Linked DNA regions of Mus musculus: regions 2 and 3 are each reported to be linked to region 1. Evidence: microRNA targets listed by miRTarBase, many of them from high-throughput screens and not tested one by one. Region 1 holds a microRNA gene; each other region holds the end of a gene's coding sequence.

Evidence for each region. Region 1 holds the annotated microRNA mmu-miR-1192 (AAACAAACAAACAGACCAAAUU, at 2,329-2,350, opposite strand). A microRNA usually pairs through its seed, bases 2 to 8, with sites in the 3' UTR of a target mRNA and lowers its output. Matches are read on the target gene's strand: a 7mer-m8 pairs with bases 2 to 8, a 7mer-A1 pairs with bases 2 to 7 and ends in A, and an 8mer does both.
Region 2: miRTarBase lists Ajuba as a target of mmu-miR-1192. Seed matches in the 3' UTR shown: 7mer-m8 at 1,658-1,664.
Region 3: miRTarBase lists Fgfr1 as a target of mmu-miR-1192. Seed matches in the 3' UTR shown: 7mer-m8 at 2,631-2,637, 7mer-m8 at 2,614-2,620 and 7mer-m8 at 2,610-2,616.

What each region holds. Positions count from the first base shown.
Region 1 is chr19:23,146,722-23,151,799 of GRCm38, reverse strand. Mir1192 (microRNA 1192) reads right to left here and starts at 2,369; the gene lies at 2,249-2,369. All of the region lies in intron 1 of Klf9 (Kruppel-like factor 9), which reads right to left.
Region 2 is chr14:54,564,369-54,569,446 of GRCm38, reverse strand. Ajuba (ajuba LIM protein) reads left to right here. Exons shown (of 8, transcript NM_010590.5): 8 at 391-1,978. The coding sequence ends at 516. Among named protein-coding and RNA genes, the nearest start is that of Ajuba, 11 kb to the left of the region's middle.
Region 3 is chr8:25,572,918-25,577,995 of GRCm38, reverse strand. Fgfr1 (fibroblast growth factor receptor 1) reads right to left here. Exons shown (of 18, transcript NM_010206.3): 16 at 4,736-4,873; 17 at 4,345-4,450; 18 at 2,278-4,251. The coding sequence ends at 4,075. Among named protein-coding and RNA genes, the nearest start is that of Gm16159, 19 kb to the right of the region's middle.

The DNA.
Region 1 (5,078 bases):
AGAGGTCTCTAGGGAGCGCCAGAGCTCTGTATTTCCTCTTAAAGTCAGACCAGGAAGTGCTCAGAAAAGGCTGCTACCTCCCAGCCACGCCAGACCAAGTGCAACTTGTGGAAGCCCAGGTTAGGAAGGTCCTACTGGAACGGCACCTGAGGGGCTGGCTTGTTGTGGTCAAGTGGGACCCGGGTTGAGACGGGACTAGGTGCCACCAGAGGAAAGCAATGTCACAGTGCCCAGAATCTCACTCTTCAGCATACAGTGGGTGTGTGACAGCCAGTGGAGACCACCAGGCTGCAGGGATGACCCTTCATGATGCCAAAGCAGCCTGTGAGTTTTGCTATTCCAGATATCAACCAGGGAAAGAACGCGAGGAATCCCAAATTAGCATGGCTGTCTTGAGTTTTACCTCAGAAAGATAATACAATGTAATGTGTTAACAAGCTGTTTCTATAATTCCAGCACTTGCGAGGCTGAGGCAGAAGGATCACTGTGAGTTTGAGGCCAGTGTAGCTGTAGAATCGTATCTTTACAAACTCACTGATCCTAAGAACTCTTATACTGCCAAGATAGAGCTTTGCTCCAACGGGGGTGGGGGGGGGCGGTTAGTAACTATGCCCACTCTACCAGCTAGCTAGGTAGGTTGTGACAGATGAGGCAGACAGGCAATGCTATGCCATCATTTGTCTCCAGCTTCCCCCCTGGGGACTTCGCATTGCTGGTACCAGGGTATGGCTGTGGTGACAGAGTCTTACTCCACTGAACCACTCATTTCTGCAACAAAATGAGTCAGAGATTGGCCTGATTCAGTGTTCATCACCAGAAACTATGAAGGTTGGGTCTGAGCTCTCCAAACATGAGGCGCGCCCCCCCCCCCCCCGCCTCCTGCCCACCATGGGATCTGGACAAGTGACCCAAGCCGGCCTTGGATGCTCTCAGAATTCATCCCTCCTGCTTAGTCCTCCCGAAATGCTCAGGTTAGAGGCATGCACTCCACGCCCAACTTCATTCTGCTACTGTCTTTGAAACTGTAATGATACAACAACTACAACGGAATTACGGCAGCCCAGGAATTTAAGTCACTTTGGGGCGTGTGTGTGTGTGTGTGTGTGTGTGTGTAAGCTCTATTTTCTGTTTCCTGTATTTACTGTGGTGTTTCTGTTGAGTACGGTGCACATTGAAAGGACTTTGGAATCTCGATAGGAACCACTACATAAATGGCTCATCTTTACAGAGACCTTCTCTATTAAGTAACACCTGGGATAATAAATGCTCACGTAAATGTGATTCATTTCATCCCTCAGAGCACTGGAATAGATGATGTGAAAACCCTGAAGATCACACGGCTGCTTATAAAACTTGTCCCATGTGAAGCATTTGTTTGGTCTTGGTTCCCCAATCATCTCCTCAGGGGGGCCTGTGAGTGCATGAGCACTTGTAAAATATGTTGAAATTATCTGTACTCTGCCAGGTCCTTTCTGTCCATTCGCTCAGAGCCTATCTTTTCTGCTAAGCTCAGGAGAGCAGAGAAAATAAATGCTGCTCTTTGGCACAGCCTATTTGCAAGCCTAAGTGGACATCGGTGTTTGATTCGCCTTGTCTGGCCTCTATCTTCCTCTACTGGTAAGGAACAGTGCACCTTGCTTCCCTTTGCAGCCAGTCCTTTCTCTGAGCCCACACCTTCAGACCTGAGAGTCTTGGATAAATAAGTCTGTTTTCATAAGGGACACACCACTTAAGCTTAGCCGTGGCTTTCAGCCTGGGTTGTTTGCTGGAATCATTAGGAATGGGAAGTAGTCTTTCTGTGGGGCTTTGCTGAATTGGCAGGAAGTGAGTCTGGTGTTGCTTGGCAGCCATTTTAGTACCATTCAGAGACAGCCTGCTCATGAATGAAGCCAGAGCCAGCAAGAGGGTGGCAAAGCCATAGAGAGAGGGGGCACTGAATGTCCATCTGCATTCAGCAACTCCTGAACTTGGATCTCCATTTTTAATCTTTTTTTAAGTTTTGCTAAGTAGCCTAGTGTGCCCTCTAACACGTGGCAGTTGTCTGCTGCCTAAGCCTATCAAGTGTTGGGATTATAGGTGAGAGACACAACGCCCAGCTCAGAGCAAGTCCAAGTCTGGACTTTCTTGCTTGCAACCTATTTATGGATCCCAAACCCAGCCCCTGGCAGGTGTGGCAGCACTGGCCTGTCATCTCAGCAGTCTGGAAGCTGAGGCAGAAAGACAGCCTAGACCATAGAGTTGCAGGCTGGCATGAGCTATACAAGCCAGACCCTGTCTCAAAACACAAAAGCAAACAAACAAAAAGAGCAAATCGAAACAACAATGACAAATTTGGTCTGTTTGTTTGTTTGTTTTTACTGTTTGGAAGGAAATAGTTTCGGGTGACAAGGTCAGGAGCAGTTATTTTTGTTGACTTTCCTAACTAAAACTCATGAAAACTATCTTCACATCAGACCTGGGGCACAAGGAAGACAGCTTAAGATGGTGGCTCTAGGGCCAAACCCAAAAGAGCCATAAGAATAAATACAGAATCTCTTCTCACTGGGAGCAAGCCACTCAACAGCCCTCACGTACAACTTAGACCTTGAAACAACAGTAGGAATATCTCAGCATAACCTTGGACGAGTCTGATTCCTCCTGTTTAAACAAGAAAAGCAACACACTTCTATTCGGTCTTATGGGATTAACATTCAAGTGAAATGCACGTAAGCCACTTAGCTCAGGCTCTGAGACATACTACATGTTCAGGACGATAGTGCTCACTAAGTCTCAATGGCTGTCGCCATCTAACACACCTTTCACTTGTCACCATTGCTCAGCACCATCCTGAGTCCACCTAGAATTCTAAACAAAAATTCTAAGGCTCTCAAAGGTGTCTGGGATATGTATGTAAAATATATATTTTTTAATTGTAGTAATCCTCAGCAAAAGGTTGGCATGCATAATCTTTTAAATGACTCATCTGAACGTGGCCTCATAATTTCATGAATATATATAATTATGGAACCCCATTTGACAGGTGAGAAACCTGAGGTTTCAGGGAGATAAAAGCTTTGCTTGAGTCTTTGTGATGAGAGTTATGGAGTCAGGGTTAGGTTAGGCCTGGGCAGGTGCATGCTCCCATCACGGTACCTCTGTTTCTATGGTGAAGGTAAAGGCTCTTCTGGAAGCCCCTTGCCTTAGCTAGAGCTCCTGAGAAGTCACTCACTATTCTGATGGGCCAGGGCCTTGTCGTCACTAACTGTGATCTTAGCAGAGCTGATCCCCTGTAAAGGGCAGGTGCTGAAGTCCCCCAACCTTTCTCCCATTGTTCTGAGCCACAATGATCTGCAGTGTTGGCACATGCCTTTAATCCCAGCACTTGGGAGGCAGAGGCAGGCGGATTTCTGAGTTCGAGGCCAGCCTGGTCTACAGAGTGAGTTCCAGGACAGCCAGGGCTACACAGAGAAACCCTGTCTCGAAAAACAAACAAACAAAAAATAAATCAATAAATTTCAGGGGCCCAAGACACAGTGCTAGCAGCACTCAGGAGGCCCAGGTTCCATCCCCCAACCCCAGAAAACACTTTCATTCACGCAAAGACCCAGCAGCTCTGGCCTGGGATGATGGAGTGGAAACCTTTGGATCCCAGGTCCAGATTCTCAGCTCTTACCACAGGCTTCCAAAGCCCCGAGCACCTGGGAAGTGTGCAGCTAAGACAAAAAGAGGCTTGAAGACACACCTCACAAACGTGTGTGTTTAGGAACAAGTGGGAATGAATGTGGAGAAAGACCCAAGAAATTAAAAAAAAAAAAAAAAATTTGGGTTCCTCCCTACTCTGGTGGAGGACGCCATTCTCCCAATATCACTGCTAGTCCTACACTTACTGAGGAGGCAAGACAAATACTAACTCTTGGCCTTCCAGGAAGGAAAAAGCAAGGACTCTGAGCTTGGCCTGGAGCTGCTTCAGGAACTGAGGTTGGCTGGGCACGAGAGGAAGAGGCTGGGCCACTCCCCCAAGCCCCTATACCTGATTAACTCATCTAAGCGGCATCAGCATCCATCCGGCACAGCTCTAAACCAACAATATAAATAAAACCTCCTTAATCACAGATTCAAAGCCCCTGGAGCTCACAAGGGAGGGAGACATGAGCGCTCTCAGAAGCGAGCTGAAAGCCACCACGGGCTTTAACATTTTCTACTGAAAAACTACAGGCCGCAGAAGATTCCAGAAGCTCAGAGTCACATGCTAGCGAAGGCTAGAGGGCTTCTGTATCCTGGCAATGTGCCTCCAAATCTCCCAAGTTCCTCCAATGCTCCTGCAGATCAAGCCCATCTCAGAGGGTGGGCACATGCTCTTTTACAGACAAAATGATGGATGAGATGACCTTTCAAGGTCACGTCCAACCTCCAAGGTCTATTCTTTTTAGACCAACAATTACCACCACCAAGTGCACTAGGCTTAGGCCTGTGACTAACTTCCAACAAAAAGTGGGGCAGCCTGGGAGCCAGGATTACCCACGACCACTGCTGGGAGGATCTCTCTTTCCCTTTTTAACATCTGTGGGTTCTTTTTTTCCTCTCTCCCTTTTGCGTGTGTTGCATAGAAACAGAAAGTGCCTTTGTACCAATTACTAGGCATTAATTTACGCTCCTCCGTGGGCGCTGGGCTTTCTGGAGAAACACTAAGGCAGGGTAGGAGGGTGATGTGGGGGAGGTTTCTAGCTGTAAGCTAGCTTCCCCCAACCCTGAGAATAGATAAGGCGAGAGAGAGAGAGAGAGAGAGAGAGAGAGAGAGAGAGAGAGAGAGAGAGAGAGAGAGAGAGAAAAGAAAAACCAGACTAAGAAACACAAGAAGCCTGGGTGTTGTTTTTCAAAACCAACAAGGCTAATGCTCGGAAGAGGCAGGCTCTCCAAGAAGAGCTAGAGCCCTGTGGCTTTTAGGGCCTGCAGAAAGAGTACGAGAAACCATCTGCCCCGTTTTCTTCCTCTCAATGAACTTATTAGGGAAGATCGTTGTCAGATACTTTCCCAGCGTGCCCTGTGATGTTTCTCCCTGGGAAGTTCACTTAGGGAGTTTCCCACAGACGCTGCAGAAC
Region 2 (5,078 bases), not on the chromosome of region 1:
GGAAATCGGAATTTGGAAGGGGGATTCTTGGAATGACTGGGCATCTGTGGGAGGGATTTAGGATACAGAAAACCAGGACACTGCAGTGACCTATGTCCAGTCTCTCTTGTCCTCTAGCTTTTCTTTCTAATCCTAGTTCTTTTTAAATCTGGAATCTGGCTTCCCCAGCCTCTGAACTGCTGGAATGGGGCTTGTCTCATGATTTCTGCTGCTGCAGCGACCCCTGGTGTCCAGAAGAAGTATTTCTCGGGTTTTCACTTCAAGTCCACCCTTTCACCCTTCACCCTCCCTGGGGCCTTACCACTCACTTGTCCAGTCACCCGGAGTCTCCCAGGATGGCCTCAGGGTAGGGAGCCTGGGTGGAAGTGAACCAGTTGCCTTCTTCCCTAGGACTGCCGCATGCAGCTGAGTGACGAGGAAGGTTGCTGCTGTTTCCCTCTTGATGGACATTTGCTCTGCCACGGCTGTCACATGCAGCGCCTCAGTGCCCGGCAGCCCTCTACCAACTATATCTGAGCTGACGTTACTGCTGCCACCACCACTGTGGAGAAACTCTCTGGCCAGCGGAGGCAAGGAGTGTATTCTGCAATCCTTGTGAAGAGGTCTCTGGGGAGGCCCCGAAGGCCAGAGACCCAAAGATCCTAACATTCCAAATGGGCTGCGGAGGAGGAACCTTCTGGTTGCCGGGAGAGTTGACTGGTGTTCATTGCGTGCAGCCTGTGCTACAGTAGATGGGATGTAGCACACGCAGGCGGGTTTCAGTACTTCCTGAACGCCAGATTATAATGTATTTTTCCAGTGTATGTTTCTATATACGTCACACAATGTTCTGGTGCTGGATCACATGAGGGCATCACAGAAACCACCCCCAGTCTGTTGTACCCTATGCATGGAGTCAGTGGAACCTTTCCCACGGGATCCTATCTTTGTCTGCGCTAAGGGCTGGAAGCCCTGGACTTTGTGATGAGCCATTTCTTGGCTCTCTCCCTAAGGACTAGAGAGCTCCCCGTGTCTGTCTGCTGGGACTGGGACCAGCTCTGGGGGACCTTGCTGCCTGTGTTGCCTGTTTCTCAGGGACCTGGGGAGGCTAACTGGGGCCTGTCCCTGGTTGCTGTTTTGCTCTTCTGGGGGAAGAAATGAGCAGGTTTCTGGATGTGAAACTTGCCGGTGAGTAGGATGTCCCTGAAGCATCAGGCTAGCCCCACTCCCCCTGTTTAAGTGCACTGAGCCTGTAGCCCAGCATATGTGGATACATTGTAGCCACGTGTGCCTGTGCACCTCCCTCCCTACTCCTCTTTTCTCAGGTGACTTACGCTTAGTTCCCTAGCAGTAGCCTATCTTTTGAGACCCCTTTTTAAAAGGGATCCTGCATTGGATCTGACCTGTTACAACCCCACCACTCAAGGCATTGGGGAAGCTGGAGAGAAGAAAAATAGGTTGACTTGGTTCTAGCCGCTTGGCTGAAACTTGAATTCCCCTTAAGCAGGATGTCTTAAAGCCAGGTCACTTGCTGGCTGGAACTCAAGTTCATTTGATGACCAGGTTGCCAAGAGTCCTGTCCCCTACTGAGTGTTCTTATAGCTGCCTACATGTTTTGTTCTTTTCATTGCACTGAGCATTCAGTGATTCCTGCCTGTTCATCAAGAGTATGTCAGAGGTTTGTTTGGTTTTTGGTTTTTCGAGACAGGGTTTCTCTGTATAGCTCTGGCTGTCCTGGAACTCACTCTGTAGACCAGGCTGGCCTTGAACTCAGAAATCCGCCTGCCTCTGCCTCCCAAGCGTGGGATTAAAGGCGTGCGCCACCACGCCTGGCTTACTTCAGAGTTATTAGCAACCTACATTTATCAACTTTGTGGCACTTTGTGATACAAATGTTCCCTGCCTCCTTGGGTGTCTTCCTACTATGCCATTATTTCTCTGACACTTAAGAAAGAAAAAGTTGAAATTCTAGCAGTAAATACAGTTGATGCAGACACTTTGTGAGTGTATTGTGGTTCTTCTTTGCTGTTCACTATGGCTTCAATCCTTGAAGCCTTATGCCTTGAAGATGTAAAGGGGCTCTATGGATTCGCCTTGGTCTGGCTTCTCCATTCACATTGTTAAAATGTGATTGTGTCATAAACAAGTGAGTCTGGAAATGACTGACCTGAGGACAGAAGACCCACCCTTGAGGGTTATTCTAAAACTGTGCCAGCCATTCTGGGAATTACATGGGCAGGGTCTCTTGAGTGCAGAAGCACACCTTTGATCCCAGCACTCAAGAGGCAGAGACAGGAGAACTTCTGTGGGTTCAAGGCCAGCCTGGCCTACAGAATGAGCTCCAGAACAACCCAGGCTACACAGAGAAACCCTGTCTCAAAAACCCAAATCAACAGCAACAACCCCCAAAGCAGAAAACAAACAAACAGAAAACAAAGGAAAAGAAAAGAAGCTGGGCAGTGGTGGCACACACCTTTAAGCCCAGCACTTGGGAGACAGAGGCAAGTGGGTCTCTGGATTAGAAGCTAGCCTGTTCTACTAGCAAATTATGTGGCAGCCTGAGCTACAAAACAAACCAAGCCAGCAAGCAAGGAAGCAGAAGGATCAAAGGCAGATGATGGGGAGAATAAACATTGATCAAACATTTTGTTTAAAACTCAAAAAGTGGTTTGAGAATATTTTTAAAAAAATTTTTTTTTTTTAAATTTTGTGAATGTTTTGCCTTTAAGTGCATCATGTGCCCATGGAGCTCTCTGAACAAGAGGTTCTCAGATCATCTGGTACTGGAGCTACAGACTCCTTCCTGTGAGCTGCCATAGATGCTGAGAATGCAACCTGGGTCCCCTGAAAACTCAACTAGTGCTCTTCGCTGCTGAGCCATCTTTCTAGCCCTTGTTTTAAATCAATCTCTCTCTTTCTGTGTTTGTGTGTGTATGTGTGTCAGTGTCATGTGTATGCATAGTTGTCCAAGTAGACTAAAGGAGGCTATCTGTCAGGCCCTCCGTCCAGGAGCTGGAGTTACGTGCAGTGGGAGGTAACCTTGTGTGAGTGCTAGGAGCTGAACTCATCCTCTGCAGAAGTAGTGAGAATTCTAACCTACTGAGCCATCTCTCCAGTACCATCAAGCATTTGATTTATTAATTATTTATTTTATATGAGTGCTGTGTCTTCACACATACCAAAAGAGAGAATCAGGTGGTTGTGAGCCACCATGTGGGTACTGGGAATTGAACTCAGGACCTCTGGAAGACCAGTCAGTGTTCTTAACCTCGAGCCCCTTATTTTTTTATTTTTATTTTTGGTTTTTCAAGACATTTTCTTTGTGTAGCCTGGCTGTCCTAGAACTTGTTCTGTAGACCAGGCTGGCCTCAAACTCACAGAGATCTGCTTGCCTCTGCCTCCTGAGTGCTGGGACTAAAGGAGGGTGCCACCACCACCCATTGCCAGGTAGTTTGGTTTTGTTTGGTTTGGTTTCTTTTGTTTGTTTGTTTTTTTGTCATCCCCCCCCCCCCCCCCAAGACAGAGTTTCTCTGTATCACCCTGGCTGTCCTGGAACTCACTCTGTAGACCAGGCTGGCCTCGAACTCAAAAATCCACCTGCCTCTGCCTTCCAAGTGCTGGGATTAAAGGTGTGCGCCACCACACCCGGCTTGCCTGGTTCTATTTTAAATTTTCTTTTTACAATTATTTATTTATGGGGCAGGGGAATTTACCTACCGCCACCTGCATCTAGAGGTCAGAGGTATACCCTCTTGAATTCTGGTCAAATGCCTTTACCCATGGAGCCATTTTGCTGGCCCAGCAAATTCTTTTTTTTTTTTTTTTCCTTTTTCCGGAGCTGAGGACCGAACCCAGGGCCTTGGGCTTGCTAGGCAAGCGCTCTACCACTGAGCTAAATCCCCAACCCCAGCAAATTCTTTTTACTGTGTGTTGAATATTATTTTGCTTCCCGTTTGACTTGGAAAGGATGGGGTTGGCTGTGTGACATGAACAAATCAGGAAGAAGGGCGGTGGTTAGCTTTAGTGGGGGAAAGCCAAATAGGGCATGGTTTTAGATAATCCTGTCTCCTTCCTTCTTGAATGAAGACAGAGCGGCCTGGGGAGACATGCAGTGGGAAGGAGCACCTGCCCTACCAATGCACATCTGAGCTCCAATCCCAGCCTCCAAGTAAATGCCAGGCATGGCTGTGTGCACTGTAACCCAAGCACGGTGGAGACAGACTATTGCATCTTTTTAGATAGCTGACCAGTCAGCGTATGCCAAACAGCAAGTTTCTGCTTCAGTGAGAGACCCTGCTTGCAGGCAGTAAGACAGGGAGTAATAGAAGAAGACGCCCTGTGTCCTAGCACCTGTGAAACCTACTCATGCATATGTACCACACACAGGCCACACGTACACATCACAAACAAAACACCATGCATACATATATACACATATCACACACATAATATACAACACACATAGGTACACAAACACAAAAACACACAAACACACACATCATACACACCAGAAACAAAAATAGCATCTCTTGGCGATGCAACCCTTCCAGGGCCACACAGCTGAAAGATGCTGCAGACTCCTGGAGGTGAAGTGCCTTTCACCTCTTCCTATTTCTTTTACCGCAGTGACATCATAGGTAAATGACACAGGTGAAATTGTCATTGCGAGAAAAGCACTTTGCTAGGATGGTTAGGGACTTGGGCAACAAATTAAAACTCTGCGTTGGCTTTCGGTTGCTGTGTTGTTAGGACCCTTGGAAGCACCTTAGAACAGAACAGAGGAAGGGCACTGCAAAACACTTCTGACCTTGAAGAGGCATGGTCTACCAGGGGCAGATACACACATAAATGACTTGAGAGTCTAAGCAACTTGTCAACGAGAGTGTAAAGTAATTGATTGTTATGAATAAAAGACCTAATATCCCAGGGTACAGAGTGCTGATGAGCAAGGCTACGCAGCTTGACTGCAGATCAGAGGGTGCAGCCCACAGTATAAATTCTGTTACCAAGTGAGGAGTTTGCATGGAGGGAGTTTTACCGTTATTACTGATATGCTGGGAATTGAACTCAAGGCTTTGCGCATGGTAGTACAAACTCTA
Region 3 (5,078 bases), not on the chromosome of region 1:
GCTGGAGGGACTGTCCCGTCAGAAGACCACTAAATCCTGCAGAGGGTCAGTGTCTGGTTCCCAGCACCCACATGGTCGCCACGACCAATTTCTAACTCCAGTTCTACAGAATCCAGCAACCTCTTCTGAACTTCACAGGTACCATTCATGGTGCACACACACACACACACATATATAAACAAAACACTTATATGCCAGACCGTGGTGGCACGTACCTTTAATTCAAGCACTCTGGAAGGAGAGGCCGGTGGCTCTTTGTGAGTTGGGAGTCCAGGCTGGTCTACAGAGTGAGTTCCAGGACAGCCAGAGCTACACAGTGAGACCCTATCTCGAAACAAACAAGACACAGACATCTCCACCCACTTCCCAGGCCTTGAACTCAGGAGTGCTGGGATTATAGGTGTGTGCCACTACCACATAGCCAATGAACTCCTTAATCATCATTCAAGCAACTGGACTACACCCCAGCCCAGAGCATGTACCTCCTCAAAATGCTCCCTAGTCATGGAGGACCAGTCCCACCCAGTGTGCTAATCAACTGACTTCTGTAGGCTGTGTTCATACACCACTCTGGGAAGCTGCCATTGCTCTAATCTAAGGTATCTCACAATACAACTTCCGTCTGGAAGTGGTGGGTTTTTAAACTTAGTGCATACTATAGATGTGTAATATGGGAAAGGGATTAGCTACTTAACTGGCTTAATCCTCTCATCTCCCTGATGCACGTGGATTCCTTCTGGCCTTCTCAATGAGCAAATGGAAGTAGTTAAGTCATGGAGTCTGGCCATTGAGGACTCCACCTGTGCCCCGACCCACCCCACTCCCATCCCCCATTTTACTTTTTTGGAGACAGGGTATCACCATGCAATCTTGGTTGACCTAGAACTCAATATATAGACCAGGCTGGCCTTGAATTTAAGAGATCCACTGGCTTCTGCCCCCTGAGTTCAGGATTAAAGACCATCACCTTTTGTTTTCAAAATTTGGGTTACTAGGCCATAACCCCAGGCTGACACACATACTTTCCTTTAGAGAGCCAGTTTCAGCACACCACTGGAACCTCCGACAGCACGGCAATTGAATGCATTGCTTCTGTGCACCAGGACATGCACGTACCCAGCAGGCAGTAAAGATTCTGAATGCTGCTGTGTGTCAAACAAGAGGGAACCAGTTCCAGAGTCCTTCATAACTTCAGTGTGTTCTGGTTCGTTTAATTTCCTTTTAGACAAGAGTCTCACTGTGCATCTTCAGCAGGCCCTGAACTCACGATGTAGACCAAGTTGTCCCTGAACTCAAGATCTACCGGTCTCTGCCTTCTGAGTCTGGGATTACAGGCATTCACTACCAGGACCAGCCAACTTCAGGGTTCTTGCTGGTCTACTCCCTTCTTGGTTTCTACATGCCATGTTGCTTCAAAGCCCTCCATTCTCCCTCCCAGCTATTTCCTGCATATGTGGTGGAACCAAGCTCTACCAGCTGCTAACAGCTGCTAACAAGCTCATTGGGTACAGTTTTAAGCTCTAACATGCGCCTGTAGCGACATTAGACACAGCACACATTCTACACAGAATTGTAATAGTTGTTGCTGCTACTTAATAGTATGGCCCTGCACTTGTGCCATGTCCAATTCTGTACAAGACATATTGGTCATGTCCAGAGTCTGACAATGCTATATCCAGGCCAAAAGTTCCCGCTTGCAGGTAGGTCTGTTACTTCAGAGGACAGTGGCTCTGACAGTATAACCTAACACTGTCTGTGTGTAGGAGGATATTTTAGCTTGCTGGCTCCACCCAGTGGCAGTTGATAAACAGAGTTCATTACCATTAAGGCCGATTTCTTACTTCATCTATGTTCAATCTTACTTACCTGAAATCGATACATTACATTAACAGAGCCAGGGGACTGATGGCCTTTAGCCTATGGCAATTAGAAAAGATGGGGAAGCAGTATTGATTGATGCCTGGGCCATATTTTAACCCCCAGGAAACCAGACAGATGCTGTGCTCTGACAGTAACATCTTCATTCTGTAAGCTGGGTTCCCCCTCCCACGAGACCTAATCTGGTCCTCTAAGTGAAATAGCCATTTCATTTCCCTTCATGTCAATGTCACTACTTTCTATTTGATAGCCACCCCTGTCCCAGGGGCCGTCTGCGGGCAATCTGAATAGTAACAGAGGGGACTTCAGTTCCTTCCAGTTCCTAGCTCCTCTCCTTGAGTCACACTAAGCCCTTTCTGTGTTCTCCTTCCATCCACACAGCAGTGAGTCAAGTAGACCTGAGGCAGAAATAATGTTCAGTTTTAACAAGAGAAAGAAAAAAAAAAAAAACCACTATGATACACGGTCTCCAAGAAAATGAGTTTGTGCTAAATTCATTCCCTAGCCCTCTTTGCCAAATGATGTCTTCTTTCAGCATAAAAACCATTCATAATATTTTGACAGTTACATGTGTACAGAGAGAAACAACGATAAGAACTCTTATGACAATGACCCAAACCACAGCTGCCAAAACTGCATTTAAAGAAGCAGCCCTAACCCCTACAGATGAAATCATACTGAACAGGTTTGTATTCAGCAGACCCAGAAAAAAAAGACCAACCAACCAACCAAACAAACAAACAAAAAACAAAAACAAACCCTCTAAGGCTTGAGTGGTGTGGGTTTGAATAAGAGACCAAGGTACCAAAGCAACCAGCAGGTGGCAGAATTGAGTTGCCAAGTTGACCCCAACCAAAGAGATCGTTTTCTGTTTCCTGAGGGATGGGTGGAGTTTGTGAAGGAAAAACTATAGGAAGCCAAGCTCAGGGACAGACCCAACTGGGTAACAGAGACCAACAGGGAAGGGGAGGATATTTACAGGAGAGGAATATGAGGAGTAGGTTGGGGAAGATAGACAAGACATCTGAATGTACAGGGTCTAGGGTTTGGGTTTCTGTCCAGTTCTACCCTCTGGCTAACCTCATCCTCTCACTCTCTCCTCCGAGGAAACAATCAAGTGTGCGAGCTTGGCTCTCTGCCCTCAGGACCTCAGTCTTCTCCTGCTGTTCCCAATGCATCGGGAGATAGAAGGCTTGGCTGGGAGGTCTGGGGCACAATCCAGGAGACAGAGGTCATGGGGGGCAGGGGGAAGACCAGCTCATGGCCCTTTACCCCCTGTCTCCCTCCTCTGCGCTGGACACCTGCTCTCTTTTCACACGCCCAGGATAAAAATGAAGCAGCAGCAATTTTTTATTGAGGGAAACCTAAACTGAAAATAGGTTTAAAACATAATTTAAAAAAATAAAACAGCAAAAGTAGCAAAAAAATATATGACCTTTTAAAAAACATTTTCCTTTTTTTTTTCTTTCTGTTCGTTTGTTTTTAATATATAGCAACGGATGCTACCCTGGGCGTCTCCCCCATGGGTAAATCTCTAGTAACGACCCTTTTTAAAAAGACATGTAAATATATACTCAAGATTTATACACTTTGTGTTTTTCTTCATAGCTATGTACAGAGCCCCAAGTCTAGGGCTCAGCCCAAGGGCACATCACGGCTCCCAGTCTCTGCCTCCCTGTCTTCTGGTACCAGGCAGGTATTTGGTCAGCAAAGCAAATTAGTATTGGAATTAAGAAGCTACTGGTACCATCCATCTGGAGCAGAGGTTGCCTTCGGTTAAGGCCTAAACAGAAACCTCACGGCTTCCAGGAGCCCCAAGGCCCCTGCCGCCAGAACAGAAGGGGCTGATGGGTCAACAGGAATGCCCCGGATGCTCCACTTGCTTCCGCTCTGCACACCTCCAAGCAGTGCCAGGCAGCGGGGCGGGTCTTGGTCCAACACCTGGGAAGGAGGATGCGGCCGTCGGCAAGCACCTGCCTCTTGGCTCCTCTCTCACACAGCAGGCTAAGAAGAGGGAGAAGAGGGGTCTTGGGGGTGATGGAGGGGGAAGGCCACAACACAGGAAGGCCTCAGTCAGGCACTGGCTCTTGCCAGCGGCAAAGGAGGAGGAGAAAGGCAGTGTGTCCAACAAGGGGATTGTGGGTGAGGGGCACGGGTGACGACGGAATGGGAGAAAACTGGGGACAGGGTTGGTAGTCAGCGCCGTTTGAGTCCACTGTTGGCAAGCTGGGTGGGGTGTCGAGGCAGACAGGGCTCCTCAGGTAACGGCTCATGAGAGAAGACAGAGTCCTCCCCTGAGGAGCAGGTGGAGCTCCGTGTGTCGGGAAAGCTGGGTGAGTACTGGTCCAGCGGTATGGACAGGTCCAGATACTCCTGTGACAGAAAGGGATCGGTGGGTGGCACCCAAACCTTCCCAGGAGCCTATGTGACAGAGGCCCAAGTTCCAACCCCGGGGGACAGCCCTACCTGGTTGGAGGTCAAGGCCACAATGCGGTCCAGGTCTTCCACCAACTGCTTGAACGTAGGTCTCTGAGAGGGCACTGCATGCCAGCAGTCCCGCATCATCATGTACCTGAAGCAGGATGGTGAGGTTAGAGAGAGAGGAAGGACCAGGGCAGAGCTGGACCAGAGGGCTTGGGGAGGGATGGACAGGGAGGCCACTTCTCCCAAAGAGACCTTTCAACCCCTGCCCACCATGCTCCTGCTTCCTTCAGAGCCAGGCTTGAGACCTCAGGAACCTCGAATAAGCCACCATCACCTGAGGAAGCTGTCCCAACATCCAACCCAGCTTGCCAGTGGTGGATCCAAACAGTGCCGACTACTAACCCCCCATCCTTCCCCTCTAGCCTATGCTTACAGCTCATTGGTACAGTTACTGGGCTTGTCCATTCGATGACCCTCCTTCAGCAGCTTGAAAAGTTCCTCCACAGGCACACCGGGGTATGGGGAGCCACCCAGAGTGAAGATCTCCCACAAGAGCACTCCAAAAGACCACCTACAGGGGAACACGGTTCCACGGTGGCTTAGCACAGAGTCAGGCTGCCCTAGGAGTTCCTTCCCAAGTCCTCAAGAAGTTAAGAGTAGTAGGTGTGCATCTTGAACCTTTCTCACCTCTTCAGGGACCTTAAGTTCAGGGGGGCAGAGCACAGGAGACAAGAGGGCAGCAAGAGACTATACTATGCAAGGAAGCCGGAAGCACA